Linked DNA regions of Arabidopsis thaliana. Each later gene encodes a partner of the first gene's protein in a complex. Each region holds a gene or a part of one and is shown in the gene's direction. Other genes may lie near its edges. The genes, in order: NOL, ACD2, HCAR and NYE1.

Evidence for each region.
Region 2: NOL (region 1) and ACD2 share a complex: the UniProt entries of both Arabidopsis thaliana proteins name them as parts of the SGR1-CCE-LHCII complex.
Region 3: NOL (region 1) and HCAR share a complex: the UniProt entries of both Arabidopsis thaliana proteins name them as parts of the SGR1-CCE-LHCII complex.
Region 4: NOL (region 1) and NYE1 share a complex: the UniProt entries of both Arabidopsis thaliana proteins name them as parts of the SGR1-CCE-LHCII complex.

What each region holds. Positions count from the first base shown.
Region 1 is NC_003076.8:1,432,577-1,438,042, forward strand, and holds NOL (NYC1-like protein), read left to right. Parts: upstream 1-2,197; 5' UTR 2,198-2,249; coding exon 2,250-2,517; intron 2,518-2,636; coding exon 2,637-2,705; intron 2,706-2,836; coding exon 2,837-2,895; intron 2,896-2,991; coding exon 2,992-3,078; intron 3,079-3,216; coding exon 3,217-3,284; intron 3,285-3,371; coding exon 3,372-3,420; intron 3,421-3,507; coding exon 3,508-3,593; intron 3,594-3,699; coding exon 3,700-3,757; intron 3,758-3,842; coding exon 3,843-3,893; intron 3,894-4,081; coding exon 4,082-4,132; intron 4,133-4,207; coding exon 4,208-4,249; intron 4,250-4,346; coding exon 4,347-4,457; intron 4,458-4,570; coding exon 4,571-4,618; 3' UTR 4,619-4,919; downstream 4,920-5,466. Other genes in the region: ABO6 (DEA(D/H)-box RNA helicase family protein), read left to right, coding at 81-229, 465-773, 865-924, 1,023-1,175, 1,270-1,380, 1,461-1,940; AT5G04910 (DNA repair REX1-B protein), read left to right, coding at 5,119-5,318. UniProt on the Arabidopsis thaliana protein: Required for chlorophyll b degradation. Chlorophyll b, chlorophyllide b, pheophorbide b and pheophytin b can be used as substrates. Belongs to the chlorophyll catabolic enzymes (CCEs).
Region 2 is NC_003075.7:17,440,778-17,445,000, forward strand, and holds ACD2 (accelerated cell death 2 (ACD2)), read left to right. Parts: upstream 1-1,834; 5' UTR 1,835-1,849; coding exon 1,850-2,191; intron 2,192-2,367; coding exon 2,368-2,985; 3' UTR 2,986-3,518; downstream 3,519-4,223. Other genes in the region: HSF4 (heat shock factor 4), read left to right, coding at 1-101, 294-929; CEN2 (centrin 2), read left to right, coding at 3,538-3,540, 3,635-3,764, 3,842-3,878, 3,967-3,994, 4,101-4,223. UniProt on the Arabidopsis thaliana protein: Catalyzes the key reaction of chlorophyll catabolism, porphyrin macrocycle cleavage of pheophorbide a (pheide a) to a primary fluorescent catabolite (pFCC).
Region 3 is NC_003070.9:1,281,605-1,288,441, reverse strand, and holds HCAR (coenzyme F420 hydrogenase family / dehydrogenase, beta subunit family), read left to right. Parts: upstream 1-1,822; 5' UTR 1,823-1,949; coding exon 1,950-2,031; intron 2,032-2,440; coding exon 2,441-2,546; intron 2,547-2,638; coding exon 2,639-2,723; intron 2,724-2,814; coding exon 2,815-2,926; intron 2,927-3,072; coding exon 3,073-3,157; intron 3,158-3,261; coding exon 3,262-3,303; intron 3,304-3,437; coding exon 3,438-3,516; intron 3,517-3,600; coding exon 3,601-3,652; intron 3,653-3,751; coding exon 3,752-3,814; intron 3,815-3,988; coding exon 3,989-4,086; intron 4,087-4,163; coding exon 4,164-4,199; intron 4,200-4,279; coding exon 4,280-4,341; intron 4,342-4,445; coding exon 4,446-4,473; intron 4,474-4,568; coding exon 4,569-4,648; intron 4,649-4,733; coding exon 4,734-4,803; intron 4,804-4,901; coding exon 4,902-4,959; intron 4,960-5,119; coding exon 5,120-5,184; intron 5,185-5,279; coding exon 5,280-5,374; intron 5,375-5,482; coding exon 5,483-5,573; 3' UTR 5,574-6,279; and 1 more. Other genes in the region: AT1G04625 (Polynucleotidyl transferase, ribonuclease H-like superfamily protein), read left to right, coding at 1-210, 522-611. UniProt on the Arabidopsis thaliana protein: Probable iron-sulfur flavoprotein that converts 7-hydroxymethyl chlorophyll a to chlorophyll a using ferredoxin as a reducing equivalent. Catalyzes the reduction of a hydroxymethyl group to a methyl group. Belongs to the chlorophyll catabolic enzymes (CCEs).
Region 4 is NC_003075.7:12,015,764-12,020,390, reverse strand, and holds NYE1 (non-yellowing 1), read left to right. Parts: upstream 1-1,747; 5' UTR 1,748-1,784; intron 1,785-1,856; 5' UTR 1,857-2,421; coding exon 2,422-2,562; intron 2,563-2,679; coding exon 2,680-2,853; intron 2,854-3,047; coding exon 3,048-3,215; intron 3,216-3,291; coding exon 3,292-3,615; 3' UTR 3,616-3,928; downstream 3,929-4,627. Other genes in the region: PYR4 (pyrimidin 4), read right to left, coding at 1-74, 144-280, 396-577, 770-918, 1,047-1,076. UniProt on the Arabidopsis thaliana protein: Magnesium chelatase involved in chlorophyll a degradation in the chlorophyll-protein complexes of photosystem I (PSI) and photosystem II (PSII). Contributes to the degradation of PSI and PSII in the thylakoid membranes.

The sequences.
Region 1 (5,466 bases):
AAATGGTCCAACTCTTTCTTATACTACATGTATCATGACTGACTTTCCTGCTTGTTGTATTTTTGGCCTGTTCCAACTAGGAAAACTCTTATCGATTCTTCCTGTTGATCCCAAGTTGGGGAAAATGCTGATAATGGGTGCCATCTTCCGCTGCTTTGATCCGATCCTGACAATTGTATCAGGGCTAAGTGTCAGAGATCCTTTCCTTCTACCTCAAGACAAAAAAGACGTAAGTATAAGGACTCATGGACGAACATTTATTTTTATCATGATGTACGGTGATTGGTTGATTAATTGGCAAATAAATGTTTTTAAAACTTACTTTTTGGTCTTTTGAATTTTATTGAAGAGTGGGTTTTTATAGGCGGTTTTAAGCCAATAGATAGATGGATATATAACTTTTTATGAAGTATGTTGTGGTTTAATCTCTCAAACTGAGAGATGATTTCCTTGTTTTATTTTAGTTAGCTTTATCAGCCAAGTTGAGATTCTCAGCCAAAGACTACAGTGACCATATGGCACTCGTTCGTGCCTTTGAAGGGTGGAAAGATGCTGAAAGAGAAGGATCGGCTTATGAGTTTTGTTGGAGGAATTTCCTGTCAGCTCAGACGCTTCAGGCGATACATTCTCTGAGGAAGCAGTTCAACTATATTTTGAAAGAAGCTGGCTTAGTTCATGATGATTTAGCTCTCAACAACAAGCTAAGTCACAACCAGTCTCTGGTTCGTGCTGTCATTTGCTCTGGCCTATTCCCTGGAATAGCATCTGTTGTGGTAAGTCTAAGACCCATGTCTCTGGCTAAGTCTCCTTTCTCGTGTCAGAGATTTCGGTGAAATAACCTTGTTGTCCTTTTTCTTTGCACAGCACAGAGAGACTTCCATGTCATTCAAGACAATGGATGATGGCCAAGTATCACTATACGCGGTGAGCCTCTTCATTCGTATTTCCCAACATCATTACTTGAGTCTCTCGATATGGCCATCTTTTTTATTTAAATGGTTTTTACGGTTTCTATGTTTCAGAATTCTGTTAATTCGCGGTTCCCAACAATTCCATACCCTTGGCTAGTCTTTGGAGAGAAAGTAAAGGTCAATGCGGTACTCATACGGGACTCCACTGGTGTCCCTGATTCCAGTTTGATCCTTTTTGGTGGTTCATTGAGCACGGGAGTACAGGTGATTTCTCTCATTTTCCTCTTTTTAACCCTTACACTAGTCAGATTATGGAATACTCCGGAATCGAATGGATTGAATGTTGTGTTGTTTCCAGGTGGGACATCTAAAAATGCTTGACGGGTACATTGATTTCTTCATGGATCCAAATTTGGCTGAGTCCTATGTAAAGCTGAAGGAAGAACTCGATAAGCTTCTTCAAAAAAAGGCGAGTTTTTTTCAATTTTAAAAGGAAAAAGTGTTCGTAGTGCAGCACTTTAACACCTTTAGTATCTTTACGATTTGCAGCTTGAAGATCCAAGCATGGACATCCACAAAGAAGGCAAGTACCTCATGCTTGCAGTTCAAGAACTTGTGGCTGGAGACCAATGCGAAGGCAGATTTGTCTTTGGCCGTGACACAAAGAGGCCAAGCCAACCGCAAATAGGAGAGAACAAACACTCCAAAGACGGGACAAACCCGAAGAGTCTCCTTCAGACACTTTTGATGAGAGCTGGACACTCACCTCCAAAGTACAAGACAAAACATCTCAAGACAAACGAATTCAGAGCACTTGTGGAGTTTAAAGGAATGCAGTTCGTTGGGAAGCCTCAGAGGAATAAAACGCTCGCTGAGAAAGATGCTGCTGTTGAGGCCTTAGCTTGGTTGACTCATACCTCTGATAATAGTACTGGCCAACACAATGAGGATGCAGATTCTCCACCTGATGTTACTGATAACATGCTTAAACTCCTTGGAGGACGGCGCAGGCGATCCAAGGGCAAGTAATTGAATCTCTGTAGGTTTTTTCGCAGACAGATTTGGTTTGTGTAACTGTGCTTTGGACGATCTCAAATACCAACCAAAGCAGATAGAGAAATTATACTTCAGTAGTCACTATGTAACTATAGTGTCGTTTTTGGGGCAGAACAATAGTGTAGGGTTATAAACATAAAATCTAGAAACTTTAGGGGCTATGATGTATTTTGAACAATAATTGGGGTTATTATCATCTTATATGCCGCCACGTGGCATTTAACTCTCTCTGAGCTTGCTCGCTTACGCAACTCTCTCTCTCTCTCTCTTTGAGCTTCTGTAATGGCTACTTGGAGTGGTTTCAACGTCTCTTCTTCTCCGTTGCTTAGGCTTCGGTCTTCCTCCGTCTCAAATGTCACTAAGCTTCCGTTTCTCTCTCCTATTTGCCGGCGTCGGTTACTGGCAGAACGCTTTGGTCTCGCAACTGTCGTTGTTACGCGCCAAAACCTCACGGTTACTCCGTCGTCTGCGGCGGTGGAAGCTCGTATCTCAGGGAAAAGAGAACCTATGACGCCTCCGTATAACATATTGATCACTGGCTCAACCAAAGGTTTCATTCACTCTGTCTTTGTCAATTGACTCGAGTTTTTAATCTTCAGAAGGGAAAAAACATATTTTTTTATCTCATTGTGTCTCTAAAGAGTGGTTTTTGATTTATTGATTGTTCAGGTATAGGATATGCATTAGCTAGAGAGTTTCTGAAAGCAGGCGACAATGTTGTGATTTGCTCTAGATCAGGTTAGAACCTGTCCCCATTGTTGTCTTGAACTCCTTTTCTAGAGTTTGTGTGTCTGTAAGGAAACATGCAAGCAAGTAATAGAACCAATCTTCAGTAGAATTTTGCTGTTATGGCTGTTCCTGTCTTGCAGCTGAACGAGTTGAGACTGCTGTTCAGAGTCTTAAGGAAGAATTTGGGGAGCATGTGTGGGTACCGCCTTCTTTTACTGTTCTTTTCCATTCGTGTGGTCTTCCAAGGTTTTTGCTTTATGTGCATTGATATCATGAAACCATTTTCTCTTAGTAGGGAACTAAGTGTGATGTTACGGAAGGGAAGGATGTGAGGGAACTTGTAGCTTATAGTCAGAAGAATCTTAAATACATTGACATTTGGGTACACTCTCAAAACTATGAAGAACGTTCATTTGTTGGTGACATCTGTGTTAATGTTGTTCAGAGTATTTTACTATGTTTTCTTTTCAATTTTGTAACCATAGAAATAGTCTTATAATACCATCTTGAGATGATACAGATAAATAATGCGGGATCTAATGCATATAGCTTTAAACCTTTGGCAGAGGCCTCAGATGAGGATCTTATGTAAGTCTTGTGTTAAGCTTGATCCTTCTCTTCGTTAGTTTCTATGTGATTGGTTTCAGTCATTTACTTTTTGAAATCTTTATGCAGTGAAGTTGTGAAAACCAACACTCTAGGTCTCATGTTATGTTGCCGAGAGGTAGTCAAAGATGTTATAAGGAGATGAATTCAGCGTGTCTTTTGTTATTATCAGTTGGATTTACTGACATGTGTTCATGATTATTAGGCAATGAATATGATGTTGACCCAATCTCGAGGTGGTCATATCTTCAATATTGATGGAGCTGGTTCAGATGGGAGACCAACACCCAGGTTTGCTAGATTCATTAAAGTTTCTTGGGAACATGCTTTAGTAAATCTCCTTTAGGCTCTCTTCTCTGTACTGTCTAATAGCATTTTTTTGATTAACGTTTGACAGATTTGCTGCATATGGTGCAACTAAACGGAGTGTCGTTCACCTGACAAAGTCATTACAGGTAATGCCAGAGTTATATCTGTTGAACTCTTCTTCGTTTTCCCTTCTCCTTATATGACTTCTCTAGTAATTCCTGTCTTTCATAGGCAGAGTTGCAGATGCAAGATGTCAAAAATGTCGTGGTGCATAATCTATCGGTATGAATACAATATATTGCTTCATTTCATTTTTGGTTGTTTTTAGTGTCTTCCTAAATACACTGATACAGACATGCGCATAGAGATGAATAGAATGGATGGATTATAGTTATTTGAACAATTTGAATGAATTCAGGATCTAAACATGATCATAATTCTAATGTGTTTTCTCTGGATTATTGTTGCAGCCTGGAATGGTCACAACTGATCTGCTCATGTCCGGAGCAACTACAAAACAAGTTCGATGACTTAACACTGAGGAAATATTTAGATTCCATTTCAAGAGATTCTCTCTAATACGTTCTCTATTGCAGGCCAAGTTCTTCATTAATGTTTTGGCAGAGCCAGCCGAAGTGGTAAGAACCCATTAACTCTTAATTCTTTTTAGCACAACAATTTGACACGATCTCTAATCTCTAGCCCCATGATTCATGATCACACATTCGTTTGCAGGTGGCTGAGTACCTTGTCCCAAACATAAGGGCAATACCGGCTAGCGGATCTATGAAGCCGACTTACATCCGTTTCCTAACTGGAATCAAAGCCTACACCAAAATATTCTCAGTTAAGACGATTAATAGCTCTGCGTAGAAGTAAATCAAAGCATGTAAACTATTTCTGCAAATTACTTAACCAATTTGTTTTTTTCTTTGTCAAATTTTGGGAATTTGTTTCAGAGAGTTGCGTTGGGAGCAAGGAAGAACAGGTATGTTACTGAAGAGTAGGTGTCAAACTAAGTATTAGAATTGTATTGCTTTCTCAGTTTGTTCAATGGTAAATAAAAACCTCTACATTTTGTTCATGACAACTCCAAAACATGCAATCTATTGTACAATTTGGATTTAAGCTCATTTGCAAAAATGTGAGATTTCTCAGTTAATGATTGAAGTGATGATTTAAAAGTCAGTTTTTTTTTTCCAACCATAATAATTTATAGGCACTATTTTGAGAATCAGACCAGATTTGTCGAGACTGGGATCCAAATGCCTGTGGTCTAGTTTACAATTTAACAAGCAGCAAAAATGTCATTCCAAACCAATCAAACCGGGTAAAACCGAAGAACCGCCTCAACCGGACTTGATATCAAAGCGATTAAAATCAAATTACGGTTCAATTTAGTAAAATCGACTAAACCGGTTAGTTCGCAACTTTCTCTTTGCTTCTTCGTCTCTCTCTCTCTGTCGTGTTTGAGAAGACGAAAAGAGTCGGAGAGAAAGATCGGACGATGAGTGCCGAAGATTTCCAGAAGAAGGTTTCCCTCAGAGATTCCCTCTCCGGCGATATTGAGAACGAATGCGGCGGTTCCGGTGTCGGGTCTACTAGTTCGACGGTGGGCTCCGGCGTCGCCTCTCAAACCCTGGTCCTGCTTCGGAGTCTGTTGGAGATTCAGCAGCGCCGAGCTCAGGCTTACGCCAATCTCAAAAGGTTCGATTGATTCATTGGAAATCTCTCAAAGAGTTAGTTTATTTGTTGCGGTTTTGTTAAGTTCCAATTGATCCATTGCCTGAGAGTTAGACTTTGTTGGTGAATGTTGAAATTGAGGCAAATAGTGTGAAGGATAGAGAGGGAGATG
Region 2 (4,223 bases), on another chromosome or scaffold:
CTTTTGTCGTGTGGAAAACAGCAGAGTTTGCTAAAGATCTTCTTCCTCAATACTTCAAGCATAATAATTTCTCAAGCTTCATTCGTCAGCTCAACACTTACGTGAGTTTCACTCTAACGAAAACTCATTTACTCTCAATTTAATGCTTCATTTAATTCGTTTGGTGAATTGAATCATTCTTTTGTAGTTGGTTAGCCAATTTCGTAATTTTCTCATAATTTGGGGGTTGGTGAGAAAACCTTCTAGAAGCTGAGAATGTTCTTGTTCTTTTTTTTTTTTTTTTTTTGGTTTAGGGATTTCGTAAAACTGTACCGGATAAATGGGAATTTGCAAACGATTATTTCCGGAGAGGCGGGGAGGATCTGTTGACGGACATACGACGGCGTAAATCGGTGATTGCTTCAACGGCGGGGAAATGTGTTGTTGTTGGTTCGCCTTCTGAGTCTAATTCTGGTGGTGGTGATGATCACGGTTCAAGCTCCACGTCATCACCCGGTTCGTCGAAGAATCCTGGTTCGGTGGAGAACATGGTTGCTGATTTATCAGGAGAGAACGAGAAGCTTAAACGTGAAAACAATAACTTGAGCTCGGAGCTCGCGGCGGCGAAGAAGCAGCGCGATGAGCTAGTGACGTTCTTGACGGGTCATCTGAAAGTAAGACCGGAACAAATCGATAAAATGATCAAAGGAGGGAAATTTAAACCGGTGGAGTCTGACGAAGAGAGTGAGTGCGAAGGTTGCGACGGCGGCGGAGGAGCAGAGGAGGGGGTAGGTGAAGGATTGAAATTGTTTGGGGTGTGGTTGAAAGGAGAGAGAAAAAAGAGGGACCGGGATGAAAAGAATTATGTGGTGAGTGGGTCCCGTATGACGGAAATAAAGAACGTGGACTTTCACGCGCCGTTGTGGAAAAGCAGCAAAGTCTGCAACTAAAAAAAGAGTAGAAGACTGTTCAAACCAGCGTGTGACACGTCATCGACGACGACGAAAAAAATGATTTAAAAAACTATTTTTTTCCGTAAGGAAGAAAAGTTATTTTTATGTTTTAAAAAGGTGAAGAAGGTCCAGAAGGATCAACGCAAATATATAAATGGATTTTCATGTATTATATAATTTAATTAGTGTATTAAGAAAATAAAACAGATGTTGAAGTTTTATTGTTGCTTAATTTATGTCTTCATAATGTAAAAAAGCATGTGAAATACTTGGTCTAAGGTCATCTACTTAGTTGAAAACTTGTGAAAGAGGAAGAAATTTTACTTTTATGTTTGATTGATTTTCTTTGCAAGTAGTAGTAGGTGGTTTCCGTGTTTTTACGTAATCCGTTGAATATTTTTCCCTCGAAATTGTCTTTATAAAAGTCACAGAAACATTTTCTAGAACTCTTTATCAGGAAAATAAAAATAAAGATGTCTTCAAGGAATCGAAAAAATACAGCAATATACTAAATAGAAAATGCTATGAAATTAAATAAAAATTTAGTAAGGTTCCAAAGACACTACTTAACTAGAGAGAAAAATAATTCCAACTAGCTCTACAACAAACAAATCATTTACTTGTTTAAGAATCGAAAAATTTAGAAATTTATTCTTATTATTTGTTTGCCCAATTAAGTCGCTCTTGGCCCAATACTTGCATCACTTGATTGAGTAGAAGAAGATCACTTACCAACTCTCAAACCATTTAAAAATTAAAAAGCATAGTTTATTTTATTTAAATATGTGTATGTAATAATTCACCACAAGAAATATATTACAAACCACAAAACTATAATCCCGGTAAAATAGTAATTAATTTCTTCAAAAGTGTAAATAAAAAAGAAGAGACATAATTTAGTCATAGCCACATAAAAAATGGCGATGATATTTTGCAACACTCTCTACTCTTCTTCTTCTCCATCATATCTCTCGCCGTTAACTTCAAAACCGTCGCGATTCTCAAAGAATCTCAGACCTCGAGCTCAATTCCAGTCCATGGAAGACCACGACGATCACCTCCGCCGAAAATTTATGGAGTTCCCGTATGTGTCACCCACGCGGAAGCAGCTCATGGTTGATCTCATGTCGACGGTGGAGAATCGCCTCCAATCACAACTCCTTCCCTGTAACCTCCCTCCAGATGTACGAAACTTCAATAACCCTAACGGTTCCGCCGAAGCATCTCTTCATATCAGATCCGGCGACAAATCTTCTCCGGTACTTGCGACGATTAACTCTGTTTTTCAGTTATGAGATCGAAATTGACTGTTTTGCATGCTTGTTTTAGAGCTCAATTGCTTGATTTTAAGTAGAAACAGACTTCAATTTCGATGTAAATCATAACCCTAAAAAAAAACTTTTTAGAGAATCTTAAAGTTTGTTTTGTTTTGCAGATTGATTTTGTTATAGGAAGTTGGATACATTGCAAGATCCCAACAGGAGTATCTTTGAATATAACAAGCATCTCTGGATTCTTAAACTCATCAACAAAAGCTCCAAACTTTGTGGTCGAACTAATACAGAGCAGTTCCAAGTCGCTTGTGCTAATCCTTGACCTCCCACATCGTAAAGATCTTGTTCTTAACCCGGATTATCTCAAGGAGTATTACCAAGACACTGCTCTTGATTCTCATCGACAATCTCTCCTTAAGCTACCTGAAGTTAACCCTTATGTGTCTCCTTCTCTCTTTGTCCGTTCTGCTTTCTCTCCTACTGCTTCGATGCTTAAGATTGATGCGGAGGAAGAGGATAAGTTGGAGGAGATATTGAGAGATCATGTTAGTCCAGCTGCTAAGGAGGTTCTCGAGGTTTGGTTGGAGCGGTGTGTGAAGGAAGAAGAAGAGAAGATTGTGGTTGGGGAAGAAGAGAGAATGGAGTTGGAGAGAAGAGATAAAAGCTTTAGAAGGAAGAGCATAGAGGACGATTTGGATTTGCAGTTTCCGAGAATGTTTGGTGAAGAAGTTTCCTCCCGTGTTGTACACGCTATTAAAGAAGCTTTCGGTGTTCTCTAGATTATGTAACTATATATATACATCAGTTAATGTTCATTGTACTAAACATTTACTTTCATCAATGTCACAAGAACGCAAGATGACCATCAAACAAGTCCTGTTTTCTCCTAAGAACGTCTTTGTTGTGAATCATCTCTGAATCGGATTCCTTCTGATTCATTTTAATACTATGGGATTGTAAATTTATCAATCAAGTTTCTAATTTATCTGTAAAAAAAAGTCTTGAATTATTGTTTTTCTCATGGATTTTAAAGTTTTTTTTTCACTATTTTACATGGATGTTTTGTTAAATTTCTCGTTCTCTAGATCATGTCATTTTACATTAGCAAAACCAATATAATATATAGATTAATATTAACGAAGGAACATAAACGTGCAAAACTAAAAGTTTTAAAGCTAAATCGCTTTCAAAAGAGTTAGTAACCAGACAAAAAAGAGACAGATCATCGGCAACTAATCTCGTCATCGCATGCATCATAAACCAAATTAACTAAATCATCCATTTAATCCATTTGTTCTTATCAGATCATCCTTTTCCTTCCTACACAAGAAATGGTTAGTGTTTTCTTTTCTCGATTGTCTCTTAGTTTAGATTCTTTATCCGACTACTTTGTTCATCGGTTTTGTTTTTCTTTTTGTCTTCCGGAAGGCGAATTACATGTCGGAAGCAGCACAGCTCAGAAGAGGTCTAAAGCCTAAAGGGAAGACTTATGGGTTGACCAATCAGAAGAGACGAGAGATCAGAGAGATCTTTGATCTTTTCGACATAGACGGTTCAGGTAAACTATTAAACCGATTCTTTATCCGATTTACAAAGTTATTGCTCACATGATTTAGTGCATCATTTCATATGTAGGTAGCATCGATGCTAGCGAGCTCAACGTTGCTATGAGGTCAACGGCAATTTTTCTTTCTTTTTCAAAGTTATTTTCTTCAAGTTCTAGTTAAGTATAGTACTAAAAAATTATCAGCTGATTACAGGTCTCTTGGATTTGAGATGAATAATCAGGTTTGTTTGTTTTCCTTCCTTTTTTCTTCTTTGTTTTAATTTCATGGTTTAGATCATTGTACGTAGAACCAACTTGTATTTAGTTTGGTCATGTTCATTGTTGCAGCAAATAAACGAATTGATGGCAGAAGTAGATAAAAACCAAAGTGGAGCCATAGATTTCGACGAATTTGTGCATATGATGACAACCAAATTCGGAGAACGAGACTCCATAGACGAATTGTCTAAG
Region 3 (6,837 bases), on another chromosome or scaffold:
GACAATAAAGAAGTCTCAGAGATTGTCAATGGTCGGTCTTCAAATTTTGCAGTTTTTAATTGGATAAGAGATATAAGCGCTTGGAGATCAAAATTTGAAGAATGCAAGTTTACTTGGACAAGGCGATTTTCAAACATGGCTGCAGATGCTCTGGCAAAACAACAACTTCCTTTGAACACTCAGTTTTATTGCTATAACTATATCCCGTTTGTAATAACTGATTTTTTACATCGCGACTTTGCTACAGCAAATTATTAATAAAGCTGATGTTTGAGGAAAAAAAAAAAAACTACAAGATCAAACCCTAGTTCCTCCGATGAAATTGCGGTTAGAAAACTAAATATTGATTGACCTAATTCAAAGAGACCTTTTTTGTGCAGAAACTAAATATTAAAAATCCAAGGTTCCAAGAGATCAAATAGGAATTTAAGCGAGAAGCAACATACCTGAGTCTCGTGACAACGGCGCGTGGTTTGCGTCAATACTTGGGACTCTCGGTGAGATCCGCCATGATTTGCTAGAGAGATCGTGAAACGCAAGAAAACAGAGAGACAAACGGTGGCGAGATCATTGATGGTGTGATCACCGAGTTACAGTTCCGACGGTTCTGACGGTGGTGAAAATGGATGGTGATCATCGAGCTTTGACGTTCTCGTGATCGGTGAGTTCTTTTTGTAAGAGAGGAACAGAAACAAACAGAGGCTAAAAAGACAAAAGAAGAAGAAGAAGGTGGATTTTTTGTTTTCTTCTCGTAATCCATGCTTTGGACCTTGTATCAGCCACTTATGATCATTTGCTATATTGATGCTTTCCAATTTTAGAGTATTGAAATGGGTTTCTTTGACAATCATTTTGAGTTAGTCATCATTCCTTGTTCTGAATCAAGAATTGGCTTTTGTTATGTTGTCTAGGTTCTGCTTGTAACTAGAGTAATGCTATTGTAGTCTCTGTTGTTTATTTGTAGAATCATAGAGAGTCGTGGAAGCATGTTTTAGTTGTTACTCTCGATTTCTTGTCGATGTTGTGGTGTTATAAATTGAGCGTTTTAACCAATACAAGTTAGGAGATGGTTAGTATGTGACTATGTGTTAGTGGCCATGTATGTAGTTCGATCAGATAATCTGAATGATGTGCTAAAGAGCTTGCATAGGAAGACTGCCTTTGTGTTAGCTTGCATAGAGACTTGTTGCAATATATGAGACTGAAAACTATTATGTGAAAACTTTAATTTGTGTACAAATATTTTTAACTCTTAAAATTAAACTAACATTGTACCAATTAGCACATGAAAGAAACACAGAATTCTGTGAACATATGATGAATAACTATATAAACACATTATGGATTCAGTTAAGGAGACAGAAACAAGAAGATGAATTTCAGATATATAGCAATAGAGTCACTTATAATCATATCAGAGCTTATACTTTATACAAATTATCACTTTAGTCCTTAAATTAAAACCGATTTAATCGACAATCTTGTTATTCTTTAAAACAATTTGTTCTTATTTTCAATCTTTAAATTTTGCAACAATCGACAGAACTTATCGTTATTCCGTGTTTTTATTTTCATATCTTTCTTAAAATGTTTCAAAATAATATATGTTTAATATTTTCTGATTTACAATAGTTATTAAGTTATATGAAATATAATTATTTTAAATTTTATTTTATTTTTCAGAAAACTCTTATAAGAGAGCTTACCATTAGAATATGAAAAAAAATTAAAACTCTCTTATAACTTTTTAAAAATTTTAATAATAAAAAAATGGAGAAAGCCCGTGAAAGAGCTCTTACGAACCAAAACCATTCAGTCCGGTTAAGAATTGGTTATCAAGTTTGGTTCCTAAAAGATATCCAAGTTCAAAAGCAAAAAAATATCTTCTTTTCTCTCTCTCTACTCTCTTCTCTTCTTCTCTTCTTCTCTTCTTCTCTGGCTGGGCAACCATGATTACTGTCGTCACCTCCAGGCTCTCTCTCCTTCCTCCAGTCTTCTCCGTCGTTAACTCTTCTTCTTCGCGTTCCAAAGGTGCTCAATTTATTTCTGCCACGTCTTCTCTTTATAGCACTCTGTTTTACACACGTCGTTGATTCTTCAGTTTTTTAAAAGACCCGTCTTATACAAAATTTCAGTGTAACCGATCCCTGAAATTCGTTAAAGGGATGAAATTTTATCTAAGATTCGGAGTTTTCTTTTCGAACATAGTGGTAATGTTTGTCGAATGCTTGATTTGGTCTTCCACAGCTGTCACTATCGAGTTTGAAGATAGAAATCTTGTGTTAACTTAGTATGTATTACTGCATAATGTCAATTCTGTTTGAAAGCATCAGAATTTCGGAACAGATTTTTGTTTCGTATAGCATCGATCTTTGTCTTGTGTGTTTTTATCTTCTCTCTGAAGCCTGCATGAACCCTTCTCTTATGGCTTTAATTGCAGATATGAATCTAGAGCCAAAAAAGAAGGTTAAATTAAGAGAAGACTGGAGAGAAAAGTCCAGACCTATCCCACCCGGAGGAACCTATCCAGCTAAAGACCATTGCAGGTTTTTTCTTTCTTTTTTGTTTGTTTGTTTGTTTACCTCACTATTTTTGTCTCATTCTTATCAAGATCCTTGGTGTTCTGATGGGTTTGCAGTCAGTGCGGGCTATGCGACACCTACTACATTGCCCATGTGAAGGAGGCATGTGCATTTCTTGGAGATGGAATGTCAAGGATTGAGGTAATGTCCATATAAATGGATAAGATTTGATACTCTTTTTAATTGATGGGCTAAGATTCTTATTTTGTTAATATTTTAAGTTCTTGTGCAGAGCTTGGAACCTGTTGTGCATGGTAGAGGAAGGAAAGCAGATTCCTTACAAGATACATATTTTGGGGTGCATCAAGAGCAGCTCTATGCTCGTAAGTTGAAGCCTGTCGAAGGTAAATAGACACTTCCCTTCCACTGTTCCACATTTTCTACTAACTTCTTTTCCTGGCTCAATCTAAGCTAGGGCACTTTTGTGTCTCGTTCAAGATGAATTTAGCTTAGCTTTGTTGTTTACTTTTCATTCTATTTTCGGTTGCAGGAGCTCAGTGGACTGGAATTGTCACAACCATAGCCATTGAGATGCTGAAATCTAATATGGTTGAAGCTGTCGTTTGTGTGCAGAGGTAAAACTACTGTTGAATTTCAGAAATGGACTAGGCTTACATTTATCGACCATGCTGTAGATTTTTCCATCTATCCATGTAACTGATTTATTGAAATATTACAGTGATCCTGAAGACAGATTATCTCCAAGACCAGTATTAGCCAGGTTTTCCACCTTCCTAATGTGGTTTATTTTGAGTCCATTCTTCTTCAAGTCGCCATTTTTTAGATGTGGATCCATATTTTGCTGTTACTCTGGATATAGAAGCGTATTGATGTTTCATTTCTTTTCATTCTAAGGACACCTGAAGAAGTTTTGGCTGCAAGAGGTGTCAAGCCAACTCTGTCTCCTAATCTGAATACTCTTGAATTAATCGAGGTTATTTGCCAAACCCTTATTTCTTGTTTGTGTTTTCAATCACTGAATCCATTTCACATGAACTTAGAATTTGTATTGTAACAGGCTTCCGGAGTGAAGCGTCTTCTGTTTTGCGGTGTGGGTTGCCAAGTGCAAGGTATGGGCTCAACATACTTTTTTGTGGACGTATATTTCAAGTTTCTCCATATCGTGACTCTCATAGTATTGTAATGCAGAGTGATTTCTTATACTGCAGCATTGAGATCAGTGGAGCAGCATCTGAATCTGGAAAAGTTGTATGTACTAGGCACCAATTGTGGTATTTTCCTCATCCTATCTAGATTTGTTTTTTCTCCAGAACTTTCACAACTAGTTCTTGTGTTGTACTTTTGAACATTCCATGTTGTATATGTTATTTCGGAGTCTTGTATGCTTAGGTCTAGAAATGCTTATACATTTTTAAACAAGTAAAAAGAACATCTTTGATTAATAGTGGACAACGGAACACGAGATGGACTAGACAAGTTTCTGAAAGCAGCTAGTAAAGAGCCAGAGACTGTTCTCCATTATGAATTTATGCAAGATTACAAGGTTAGCATTAATACAAAACCATCACTTATCTGTGCATTTTCTTTGGTGATGCCAATCTTGTTCAATTTCTCTTATAGGTCCAACTCAAACACTTGGATGGACACATTGAAGAGGTAAATTCGCTTAAAATACTGTGTTGCTCTGCAATTGCAGCTGAAAGCCGTTTTTAAAAAACTTTTTTTGGCTAAAGCAGGTTCCCTATTTCTCTCTACCTGCAAACGATTTAGTAGATGTCATAGCTCCATCGTGTTACAGGTAATACAAGTCTCTGCATTGTCTCTATACCTTGAAATAGATAACCTGTCGGAAATTTTTAAAACTTGTCTACAATTACAAACCCTATCTTTTTTATTCTGCAGCTGCTTTGATTACACAAATGCATTAGCGGTGAGTGTTTCTCTAGCAATTAAGATGTCTTTTCACTTAATTTTGATTCTGCCAATTTCAAACATTTCCTGATATGTATGAGCTTGTTTATCTAGGATTTGGTTATCGGTTACATGGGTGTTCCGAAGTATTCAGGTCTGAACATGACTGACCATCCACAGTATATTACAGTGAGGTCAATATTTCTACGTATTTTGACATGGACCATATAGGTTCTCGTGGTTGGATAAAATTAGTTTTGTTTATGCCTTAAACCACAGAAATGAACGTGGGAAAGAAATGCTCAGCTTGGTAGAAAACCTTTTGGAGATCACTCCAACAATCAGCAGCGTAAAGTTTCTAACATTTATATTTGTTGTTATATTTAAGACTTTAAGAGTCCACTTAACAAATAACATGAACAAACACACCTTTTGTTGTTGTTTCAGGGTGATCGGCGACCTTTTGTGACAGAAACTGTTAAGGCAGACGATGCTGCTAAGTTTGGTATGTTTTCAAACGTATTCGAAACTCTTTTGTTTCTTGAATCGTCTCTGCTTAAAGACATTCAGTTTCAAGCAAAGCTAGATGCCAAAAAGAAAGTTCTCAGCAAATGCATGCAACTAACATTGTGCTAAAGTCTTCTAACTAGTCTATAATTTCTTAGGTCAAGGTCCTGCTCAGCCAGCGCCACTATTTGTTGGAAACATTATTGCGTTCATCCTAAATTTGGTAAGATTATTTCCTTATGAACACAAACCGAGAAACAAGCTCATTGCATAAAAAGTCAAAGAGTTTCTTAACTTGCAAAACCATTCTTGCTTCAGGTTGGTCCTAAGGGTCTAGAATTTGCTCGGTACTCGTTGGACTACCATACCATCAGAAACTATTTGTACGTAAACCGCAAATGGGGAAAGCAAAGGTAAGATCTGAAACACACTCCTAGAGATAAAAGTTTATTGCGATCAACTGTGTATTTCTATACTATTGGATCGTTCTCTAATGACCAAAGCTGCATTACCATCTACAGAGCAAACACCCACATGCCATCATATGCCAAAAAGATAGTGGAAATGTACAACAAAAACGGCCAAATAGATAAAATGCTCTCCAAGAAATGAACATTTTAGGCCTTTCTCATGTAAGTTTCCAAATGTATATTTCATCCTACAAGTGAGTAAATGTACATTGGTCCTACTGTTTCTCAACTTGTAGTATGTTAGTAATATCCAAAACTATTTCCCTCGTGAATTTGGTAAGACACCGGCAAGAAAAGATGGGTCGGTTTGGTGTTTTTTGGCAGAGAACAGAGAATAAGAAACAGTCTAAATCAGCGGCTGAATCCAAATCAACCCATGTGGGTTCCTTCCTCCATATCTTTAGGTTAAGGTGATGTCCGAGTAAAAGGTTGCAGGGTTTTGCATGAGAACATGAATAACTGTTTTAAGAGGATGGGAACCAGACATTTACACAGTTGGGGGGAATTAGCTTTTAATGTCTTTTTTTTGCTTGGACAAAGAAGAAGGAACCATGGTTAAGCTTCACTCGCTCGCTCACTCACTCACTCACTCACTAACTTACTCATCACCATATTTCACACATTGGAAACTTCAAATTTTACTCTCTCTCTTTTTTTCTTTTTTTGTCTTTTTGTTAGTCAAGTCTCTGCTCTGCTCGTTCAATGACTTTGCTGCAGAGACTCTCAGACCTCAAGTGAAACTCATAAATGTCTCTGCTCTTTTGCACCATAGTTGATTTTTTCTCACCAGAGGCATTGTCCTAATACAGAGCATGTAAACGTTTTTTCTAATAATATATTTAAGTGAAATAAAGCTTACTTTGGTACCTTGAATTAATTTTGAGTTGCAATTTGACATATAACAATGTTAGAGAATTCATTTACGTATTGCATATTTTGGATCTGTATCTGTATCTGTTTCAGTATATATATATTTATAACTAGATCCAACATCATATATAATATATGATTTCACTCAAGTTTTTCTGAGAAAGTTGTATAATGTTATATTTATTATCCATCTGTGTTTCAAATTAGATACATTGTTCATCCCTAATGGATTTTGCATATCCTACAGAAATGCATGTTTCAGTATTTTCAACTTGTGTTCCCTGGAGGTTGTAATCCATGAAACAACTTTAATATGGACTGTCCAAGACAATCATGTGTAAATCAATCATTTGCCAAATATAATGATTACAAAATGGCTAATAATTCCTTAATCAGTTAAATAACAGCTCTAACTTGTGAGAGTATTCTTCCAATAATGAAACAGCATGAAATTAGTTGTTTCTTTTCCTGATCAACAACATCATCATAGAGATAACACAACATGCATCGTTGAGAAAAGAATTACAAAACCGTAA
Region 4 (4,627 bases), on another chromosome or scaffold:
TGCAGAACTGTCTCAATGAAGATTTTCTCGCGGTCAAAGACATCGATACTCGGATCTGTGACCTCCCCATGAACCTAATCAAAACATTCCTCAGACAAGACAAAGACAAAAATACAAGTCTATGTGGTGTATGATTTATTTACCAGCAAAGGCATGTTTTGTTTGACCATCTCTTCTAGTACCGGTAAGCATTTTCCAAAGAGATCCGTGACACCATCTTGAGAGTTGGTTGTTGCTCCGGCAGGGTACAGCTTCACCGCATAAACCACACCACTTTCCCCTAATAACAAGATCATATATGCATAAACTGAACATTAGCAAGTAGAATCTCAATCAGAAAGATGAAAATGTATCTGATTAGTTTGCAACAAGATGGAGAAAGCACAGGTACTTACTTGCAAGCCTGATCTCTTCAGGTAGAGTTTTGTCAGTCAAATAAAGTGTCATAAGTGGATCAAAGCTACTCTCAGATGGCAAAGCTTTCATGATAAATTTCCGGTAAATAATGGCAGCTGCAGTGGAGGTGACAGGAGGCTTCAGATTCGGCATCACAATCGCTCTCTTAAAATTACTCGCACTGCACATAATTACATACACCATTAACCATCATGTACAGCACAAGCATCAACGCCAGCACAAGATTGTGATTGAGGAATTCATACATAACAAACAATGGTTCCACAAGAAACACCAATAGCAAACAAAAAAGTGGCTGCAAAACAAAGTAAAGCAAGGAAAGAAAAGAAAGATTGCAGGATGTTTATAAGACCTGTGGGGAACAACAGCATGAAGAAGATCACCGTCACGGAGATGAAGATGCCAATCATCAGGTTGAGTGATTGTGAGCTCCATTCTTACTGCTCTCGTCTTCACTTTCTCAGAAGATCTGTCAAACTTCAACTTCTGAGATCCAAATCCCTACATAAAGAATAAAATAGTTGACTTTAACAGACGCATAGGAGGAATTAAATAAAATTAAAACTGGATCACGTGGATTGAACTAAACAAGAATAAGACTCAAAGAGTGGTGGAGGTAGAGTACATACACTATAAGGAGAGACCAAAGTCTTTATCATCTGAAAGCTGCTCAAGGCTTTGCAAGAATTCACCTGTTCCAAAGCAAATGACAAGTAGACTCAGATTCTATAACATGACCTTAAAAAATTGACTCTGTTCTAAAGTATTAGCAGGCACTAAAACTATTCAATCATCATCAAAAGATTTCGCATTCCTTTGGTTCAATGTTTCTCCAAACGAAATTTAGTATCCAGATTAATCAAATTTCTATACACACAAATGGGTATCAGCAAAATCCAAAGAAATCAAATTATCCAAACAATAAACCACAAAATGGCGAAACTGGTAAACACCTAGAAACCAAAATCGAAAACTTGAACTTGTTTAGGTAAGCAATACGAACCTGGATAAACGAAATGCACAACAGGGATGCTTACAACACAAACAAAACGAACCCCAAAAAGAGTGATTTGAGGAAGAGATTGAAGGAGAAAGAAGAAGAAAAAACAGTACTCGTGTTTTGTTGTTTACAAGATACGACGTCGCTTAACGTAAAAGAAGAAGAAAAAAATAAAAGCTCTGTAACAGGCCAGCCCAATTTTAGCCCGATATTTTTAATGGACCTGGACCTGATCACAAATTTCAGCCCTTTTTAACATCCTTATGGATCAACATGGGACTCTCTGACTCCTCCGGTTCCATCAATACCTGCGTTTGTTGTCCTTGTTCACGACGATTCAAGCGAAGAAGCCTCTCGAGTTTCACAGGTCTAATAACTAAACCGAGTAATCGAGTCGAATGACATTAAATTGAACCGAAACTAAACCGTATTGCTTTAGGTTCGACTGACAACTACAGTACGTGAGTTAGGTTCGGTTAGAGCCGAATCTGTGTCTCTTTGTCGCAACGAGATGGCTAAAGTTATCCAAAAAGACGGTTAGAGCCAGTTGTTAGCCCCACCATGACGACACATGGGGAAGCTCATGCAAAGATTAGAGAACACGTGGCACTCTCTCGTGTTCAGAAAAATTCCAAAAGAGTGTTCAGATTTGGGCACGGAAGTGTGAAACGTGAAGCAACAATCCCTTTTAAACACAAGAACCAACTCAATACGCATCACAAAGAACCCTAAATTCCTGGAAGATCTCAAAAGGAAAATTCAAAACCAAAGCTTCAAGCAATCATCAAGCAAAGGAAAAGCTCAAATTTTGGGTCTTTTATATATTTATTTCTTAAAGTTACAATCTTTTTGATTGTGGTTTCAGTGTACGAACACGCAAGAACTCGCGTGAAAAAATTGTATCCAAGCTTCGTGAAAGGAGTCTCTCTGTATTTAGTGGCGTTTTGTTCTGTTGTTATTTCTGAAATATTGAAGCTTTTGATTTGGGTTTCAAGAGAGCAGAGATGTGTAGTTTGTCGGCGATTATGTTGTTACCAACGAAGCTGAAACCAGCTTATTCAGACAAACGGAGTAACAGTAGCAGCAGCAGCTCACTCTTCTTCAACAATAGAAGATCCAAGAAGAAGAACCAATCGATTGTTCCCGTAAGGATTTGTTCTCTTAATCATTTTGACATATCTTTGTTTTATGTGTCTCAGTTATGGATATATCTATGCCTCTGTCTTTATTGATGGAACTTGAAACTTTTGGGATCGGTGCAGGTTGCAAGGTTGTTTGGACCGGCGATTTTCGAATCATCCAAATTGAAAGTACTCTTCTTAGGGGTTGATGAGAAGAAGCATCCTTCAACGCTCCCTAGGACTTACACACTCACTCACAGTGACATTACAGCTAAACTAACCTTAGCTATTTCTCAATCCATAAACAACTCTCAGGTAAAAACACCTCTCTCTCTGGTCTTAACATATCTACATGGCTCTGTTTATAGGAGTAGAATGTTTATGTATTTGATTATTTGGAGCAAATATTAGAGGCTTATGTATGATTGTTTTAACCTATGTATGTGTCTATATTCACCAGAATCTCTTAACACTTTAGAGGCTGATATGTATAGAAATGTTTTTTATAGTTGCAAGGATGGGCAAATAGGCTATACCGGGATGAAGTTGTGGCAGAATGGAAGAAAGTGAAAGGGAAAATGTCGCTTCACGTTCATTGTCACATAAGCGGTGGCCATTTCCTTTTAGATCTCTTTGCAAAGTTTCGATATTTCATCTTTTGCAAAGAACTACCTGTGGTAAGTTCCCAAATTCATAAGAAACTTTTTATTGGTTTCATGTAAAACAAAATGTTTATTGTTTTGATATATACAGGTGTTGAAGGCTTTTGTGCATGGAGATGGGAACTTGTTGAACAACTATCCTGAGCTACAAGAAGCTCTTGTTTGGGTCTATTTCCATTCTAATGTCAATGAGTTCAACAAAGTCGAGTGTTGGGGTCCGCTTTGGGAAGCTGTTTCGCCTGATGGTCACAAGACTGAGACTCTTCCCGAGGCTCGGTGTGCGGACGAGTGTAGTTGTTGTTTTCCAACCGTTAGCTCGATTCCATGGTCTCATAGTCTTAGTAATGAAGGTGTAAATGGTTACTCTGGGACTCAGACTGAGGGAATTGCTACTCCAAATCCGGAGAAACTCTAGTGACTAAATATCAAATTACAAGTTTTTCTTTTGGTAGTTTGTACAAAGTGAAAAGGAAATGGCAGGACTTTCCTTTTGGTGGATCTAAATATTGGTTTGGTTTGGTGTACATAATGTGGTATAGGAAAATAATGATTATTTGTAGGTTAAATACAGATTTTAAAGTTTCAAATGGTATTTTGTGTCTACTCTGAAGTCTTTATCATAGTTGTATACTTGTATTGTATCTCATCCACAAGATCAAAATGTAAATTTCTTACAGATTAGCTAATATTAAAGGTGACAGACTGGTATAGTACTACTGCAATGCAAACATAAAGATGAATAAATTGTTGTTTAATGAACATATATATTTTAATATATCAAAACATTCATGAGAATCATCACCAATTTAAAGTTATACTAATATCCCAAATAAGAATAGTTTAGAAATATGAAGATATTCATGAGAATCATCACCAAAGTAACAATAGACGTATATTAAGGACCGAATTCGTCGGTGTAACGGTGAGAAACTAAGGAGAAACGTGAAGGTAAAGAGATGGCAAAAGACTTTGTCTCTCTGGTGGTTTTGCAAAGCGTATCAGCCACTTCTTGCTCCTAATGATTCCAAATTATTTTCTTGGATTTATTTGGTCTCTTTCTTCAATATCTTTTTCATTTTATAACCAAATCAAGATGACTTTTTTTCTCTGACCCCATTCGTCTATCTAATTTACGACCAAATACACCAAATACAGAAAGAGAAGAAGAACAAGTAATATAAGAGAATGGTAACGAATTATTGCATTATTATCATGGGCTTATTTTATAAAATGTTGTGTTCGTAAGTAAATAAATACAAAAGAAACTATATTTTGATATATGAAGAAAAATTGAATAAAGATATACACTTTGGAAAATTTTGGGGGAAAATGTTGTGCATCTTGATGGAAACCCAAAGATCGTGATTAAATCAAAAGGGTTAGATCTTGTTGCATCCGTGTGTAAAAGAATTTAATGACTCTCTGCT